2 linked regions of the Kluyveromyces lactis genome follow. The protein of the gene in region 1 interacts with the protein of each later gene in a pairwise test. Links are inferred from orthologs where the notes say so. Each region holds a gene or a part of one and is shown in the gene's direction. Other genes may lie near its edges.

Region 1 (3,386 bases):
TATATGTGCAAGCTCACGATTGAGAGGTTGGGTGAACGACATCTTTGCATGTTGATTGGCAAACACTTCCTGCGTAGAAGATAAATAATCGGCATCTGATAGAGAAACTTTAAGCTTTGATAGTAATTTTTCTGCAAGCAAAGAAGGATTTTTACAAAGGCCATTTTCATCTGCAAATTTCGGATTTGTTTGATACCATGTATGTTTCCGTAAAGTATCCAAAGAAGCTCTTTTCTCTGGATCTGGTTGTAATATTTTTCTCAAGAGATTCAATTCAACGAAATCTATCTTCAGCCAAGATCCCTGATCTAGCTTTCCTTCGCCTTTAATAAAGTTTCTAAACGTTTCATCGTCCTCGTGAGGAAGTTCCCAAGGCGTTTCTCCAGTCAACAAAACGAATAATAGAACACCAATGGACCAAATATCTGTCATATCAGCATAGTACCCATCACAGTATATTATTTCCGGTGCCATGTAGGGAAGACTTCCTCGTTGATCTCTAGAAATACGTTTTGATCCATCTTTTCTCTTGAACAGCGATGCTAGCCCAAAATCTGCAAGTTTTAAATTCCCATCTTTATCCAATAGGATATTTTCCGGCTTGATATCCCTATGGGCAACACCACAGGTATCATGCAGATAACTTATAGCTTTTATAAGTTGTTTATAATAGAATTGGGCGACTTCCGAGTCGACTCCAATGTCAGGTTCGATTTTATCGAAAAGATCACCACCTTCAGCCAGTTCCATGGCTATCCAAAGAAACGGATCAGAAAGATTGCAATCTATAACCTTTAGCACATTAACAAAATTAGAGCATCTAGAATGTAACTTAACTTCCCTCAACACATCTTCCTGACTCATACCTTGTTTCTCACATGAAGGAAGATGTATGAATTTGACAGCAATTACAGTGGACGGATCAACTTCTAAACTAGCTCTCTTCACAAAGGCAAAGGAGCCCTTCCCAATTGTTCTTCCTAGTTGTAATCCATCAATATGAGGGAGCTGAGCTATCTGTGAAAAGCTCATCAATACATCAATCGAAGTGTTCTTCTTTTACTTCTTTTTTGTTCTTGTCGGTTCGTATCTCAGAAATCTCCAGCTATATCAGCCAAACGCACATTCAATATTTACGCAACTGATGTGCTCAAAATATCATCCAACCGTCCTAACTGAACCCCAAGTGATTTACCTAGGATAACACGTCGGAGACTCGTATATAAATCCCGTTTTCCCCATAAGTATCATCATAAAACTATTGTTTTTCTTTTCTGATCAGATCTGCGATAGTCATTAGTTTCTGTCATTTCTTTGCATTTATAAAAACGTACATTGAAAGGGGTTTTACTACGTTTATAGTTTAATCAGTGAACAATAAACAAATCCGATACTGTTGATAGAAGCAACGAAGCAGTGGTGAGCTTTTTAGGAGTGGTAAGTGTAAGATTAGGCAAATATGAATACGATGGATACACTGGATACGCATTTTGTTTCCTCTGTGGAAAATGCGGTACAAGAATCATTGCGAGAGAACAAGGCGTTATTGGTTTATACTACGGGCGGAGATAATTCGTGGTTTGAGTCGTGGTTTACACCACTTGTAGGGGAGCAGTTGAAGGATTCGTGCGTTTGGTTACGTTTAGCTGCTGGAAGCAGGGAAATGGGTTACTTTGAGCAAATATTCCCGGATGTGAAGGTTCCTAGCGTTTATTGTATTGCTAAGGGACAAATAGTGGAGATGATAAATCCAGATCAGTTGGACATGGACGGATTTGCTACTAGGTTGATCCGGGCAGTTGGTAAAAGCAAGAGGAGAATCTCTGAAACGGATGCCGTTGATGCATCCAATACCGTTGGTGCCGCTGGTGATACCGGCGCCAGGTCCGGTAGCTGTCTGTCACAAAATGCGAAATTGATGGAGTACCAAATAAAGGCCAAGAAGCACCAGTTGACAGAACAACAGGAAAGAGAACGTATTGTTAGATTGATGAAAGCGGACCGTGAAGAAATGAAGCAACGAAGATTATCGTCATCATCTCCAAATCATACTAAGGAACACATCAATGAAGTATTGGCTGTACCCATTCACGATAATATTAAAAACAGAGATATAATAAACGCAGCAGTGTGCACCTTGCTTATAAGATTAACAGACGGTAAGACATTGAAAAACGATTTCGATTCGTCTCAAACTTTAAACGATGTAAGGACTTGGGTGGATGCCAATAGGACAGATAAGGATGGTCCGTACCAGTTCCATCGAAGTATTCCACGTGAAACTTTCACAGAATCACAAGAATTACTATCTTTGAAAGCTCTGGAGCTTACTCCAAGATCTGCATTAATCTTGAAGCCTTTGGAAAAGCATACATATTCTCGTAAGATTGCAGATGTAGAAGGACCAGGTTTGCTTGGGAAAATGTATCAGAACGTGACGTCCTGGTGGTACGGTAAATCAACGGTTGTTGATCAAAATATTCCTGAACCTGCTGAAGCATTAACATCTCAAGCTTCATCTAGATATGTTTCTCCCTTATCTTCCCCTCGTCTGGTACACTCTGATGCATCGATACCCTCAAGAGCTGTCTCTCCATCTTCTATACATTACGGCCATGTCTCAGACGACAACAGCAGATAGCACACCTGATTTATGAATCGCCTTTATGTTAAATATCATATGTATGCATGAACGAATTAAATATACATATTAATACCAAATATGAGCAATCACTCTTATCGGAAGAATTAGGCCAACAGTTTCTCGGTCATCTCTTCCTTTTTCGGTTCCTTCACTTCCGTCTTCTCTGCACGAGGAGAGTCCCTGCTCGATACCCTCAAGGATCCAAGTTTCTTTATCAAATCTTCTGTTGAGCCAGATTCCAAAGGTGCTGCAGATTTTTGTTCTTCGATCTTCTTTTTCTCCTTCTCTTTTGTATCCTCTGTTGATAGCTCCTTCTCTAACAGTGACAATTCTTCTTCAAGAGCATCATTGTCGGAAACCGACTCTCCTACTAACAAATTATGAATACGGTCTTGCTTCTCTGTATTTTCTTGGAAATCATCTAATATGTTTGAAATAGAATCTTCATCTAAAAGTTGTGAATTGATAGCCTTCAAAGCGGTACTGCCTTGTTTTAAAAGATTAATCATAACCACATTTTGTGAAGCATTGGATATTTCATCTTGGAGTTTCCTAAGAGATTCTAAACTCGTGTAAGCTTGTTCCAAGTTCTTTTCTGAGCGTTTTTTCAACCTAAGAAGTGTTCTCTTAATCTCTTGAGAAAGACCCGATGAAATAGCGCTTGTCAGCCGTTTGGTAGTAAGATCTAGCACCTTTTGTGCCGATTTTATCTCCGTTTCCGCAGTGAATACATATTCATTAA
Region 2 (3,123 bases), on another chromosome or scaffold:
CCTATCATGCTAGTTACAGTCTATACAAGATATTACAACCTGGGCCCACTTGGAATGATGTATTGGTTCATGTTTTGGAATTCCGCGTATTCATTCTGGTGGGATGTGACCATGGATTGGAAACTAGAGCTGTTCGATTTTGTGAATGGGGACACTAGTGTCAATAACAATAATAGTAGTAACAAAGCGGACGGTCTTTTAAGAAGCATTTTGTTGTACCGGAAAAATGCGTGGTATTATAGCGCTATGGCGCTCGATTTTATTTTGAGATTCGTATGGTTCTGGGAGTATATCAGTGGGCACTCTGTATTTTATGGGGAATTAAACATCTTTTGGTTACAAATTTTAGAGATAATCAGAAGATGGATTTGGTTATTCTTTAAAGTCGAGGTAGAATACATTGCAACAACAGAGGGGGGGAAAATGGATGAATGAGATGTTTAGAAAGAGAGGAAGATAATAAATAAAAAAAAAAGGTTAATTACTTCCTACGTTTATTATTGTTGGCCTTTCTTTGATTTTGTCTTCTCTCGTTCTTGGTCAAGTATCTGAACTTCTTATTCTTTTTACTCTTATTACCAGATTTTTCTTCAACTCCCAAAAACTTTGCATATTTCTTCGCACGTTCGATGCTTTGATCTAAAATTTGTTCCGATTTCTCTAACTTCACATTATTTAATTCCGCAAGGTACTCAAAATTGTCATTGGGCTCTAAGGGTTCGATGTCTACCGTAGTATCATCTAAGTAAGTCTGTACATATTTCTTTAAGATCGGTTTCACACTAACAGAGTCAGAATCCTCTTCTTCTTCTTCAGTTGCATCTCCGTTATCATCGGAAAATCCCGTCCATTCTTCAGCCTCTTCATCGCTTCCCTGTTTCCCATTTTCGGCTTCTTCGTCGTCGTCCTCTACACCGACATAATCACCGACATCTTTCATCGCCTGTTTAAAATCTTCAAGCTGTTTCTCAAGAGCCTTTTTTTTATCTGCTCTGATCTTGGCCCTTTCCTCGAGCCTAGCTTTTCTCTCTTGCTCTTGGATGAACTCCTTGGCTTTCTTTTGTCTATCAAGCTTTCTCTTATGGAACCCAGTTAAGTATTCCAACCGTGAGTCCTTATCGAACTTTACCTCATCAGCACCGAATTTCTTAGCAGCTTTCTGCTTGTAAGATTTACCACCGGTAAGAATCTCACGATTACTCTTTGCCACCATTTTCACTCTATATCCACACTGCTACTCTGTATCTTCTGCAGAACTTGAACCGGTCTCAGCACCACCTCAGTAAGTGAAAAGCCTATCTGCTTTCTTCAGCTCATCGCATCAGCAAGTTTTTCCGTTTTAATGCTTTTTCCAAATATTGAAACTTCGAGATACAGAAAGAAATACATAGATAACTATAACATGATTGCATAAGGGCAATCTAGCCGTCCTGACCTAATTTATCTAGACCAATTCATATGCTCTGCCATGCACTAAGTAGAAAACAAATCTAGGCGTATACCTGTGTAGAGGATCATTACTTAACTATTCAATTTCTGTCATTCTGTGCTTTCCTATCTATGTCTTTCCCATAGCTTTAATTTTCGGGTTCTATGAAATTTCAGTTCCAAGTTGCAGTGAAAGAAAGATATTTATACTCACTATACAGATGCGCTGTCAAGATAGACACCGGAGGTACCATTCAGTAACATCAGTGGGATATACGATACGCGTGATTATTCATAGCAGCCATGACTATGCGTAACGAATTGATACAGTTTGTAGGACAAATTCCACCGGTGACCCGAGGAATATGTCTCTTAATGGTGTTAATATGTTTGATCCAACGCTTGAACGTATTACCGTACTATTTCAGCGATTTCAAATGGTCTTTACGTGGTGTATTGTTCAAGTTCCAAATCTGGAGGTTGTTCACTAGTTTCCTCATCTTACCAAACGATGCCATGAAAGCATGTTTCGACCTATACGCAGTATACTCGAAATCGTTACATCTCGAATTAGTGCACTTCAGCAACAAATCCATCGATTATTTGTTTTACATATGTTTCAACTTTGCATTGATCGTCGTGCTCGTAGAAGCATGCCAGATCTCATACCCAGTGTTCACTAACGCATTCATAGGAATGATCCTATATACGTGGACTCTGGACAACAGCAACGTGAAGGTAATGTTCTACGGATTATTCCCAATCTTGGGTAAATATCTATCGCTAGTGCATCTTTTCGTTTCGTTCTTATTTGATGACGGGACCGATGGTTACAGCAGGTTTTGCGTCACAATGGTCGGGTTTTGTGCTGGATACGTTTACTCCTGCCTAGACACATGGACTTACGGTCCCTTGTACGGTTATCTGATGGGGAAGGACCCAGCGTACGGATTCTCTGGAAGAGGTCATTTCAGATCACCAAGATGGTTCTCCTCGATCATTCTATGGATAGGACGTGTCCTATCCATCACCTCCAAACCCGTTTCGTCATCAAACAGGACAGACCCCGTGACCAGAAGAAGGTTGAGAACCCCGTTAAAGAAAAGCACTTTCGCTGGAACTGGAAATAGATTAGGGACCAAAATAGACTGATTAAGGTACTAATAATCCGACATACTGTTATCTATATTATCTACATCTCCCTTGTGTATATATCATTTGTGTTATTTTATTTACCCCAGGTTTAATGGAAATATGTCGACAATGGAAAATTGATTTTGTATGATGGTTCTGCCTAAAAGCCCGTTATGGCGAGAAAATAGTTGATGATCAAAAAGTGTTGGAGCAAACGAATGACCACAGGGACCAAGAGTGGAGGTGAAGCACGTCTTGGGTACAGGATTGCAGAGAGTTACTGGTACAGGTTCGTTGATGATCACTCGGTTCGGACGTATATAACGGAATGGGCTCTTGTGTAATGAATGATCAGCAATTCGGATTTCTCGAGTTTCAGCCTTTTATGAATAAAACCATGTACAAATGAGCTAGTATTATTTAGTATATATATAGCTGCATTTCAGAAGTTAAGGACACCTTTCGCTTTTAATAGGTTTGTTCCGAAAATGGTTTCCTTGCCGGTTTAAACAACCAAAATCATCCTCAAGAAAGCGGAACACGATATAGAATAAAAGGTTT

The links.
Region 2: the proteins of KLLA0_F01298g (region 1) and DFM1 interact in binary tests that used the Saccharomyces cerevisiae proteins (3 or more experiments, as listed by UniProt). The link is inferred for Kluyveromyces lactis from reciprocal best matches to the Saccharomyces cerevisiae genes UBX7 and DFM1.

What each region holds. Positions count from the first base shown.
Region 1 is NC_006042.1:120,529-123,914, forward strand, and holds KLLA0_F01298g (UBX domain-containing protein), read left to right. Parts: upstream 1-1,459; coding exon 1,460-2,641; downstream 2,642-3,386. Other genes in the region: serine/threonine protein kinase CHK1, read right to left, coding at 1-1,032; phosphatidic acid-binding protein CHM7, read right to left, coding at 2,749-3,386. UniProt on the Saccharomyces cerevisiae protein: Involved in CDC48-dependent protein degradation through the ubiquitin/proteasome pathway.
Region 2 is NC_006037.1:186,940-190,062, forward strand, and holds DFM1 (Dfm1p), read left to right. Parts: upstream 1-1,731; coding exon 1,732-2,580; downstream 2,581-3,123. Other genes in the region: ERD1 (Erd1p), read left to right, coding at 1-435; rRNA-processing protein RRP17, read right to left, coding at 482-1,213. UniProt on the Saccharomyces cerevisiae protein: May be involved in the degradation process of some misfolded endoplasmic reticulum (ER) luminal proteins.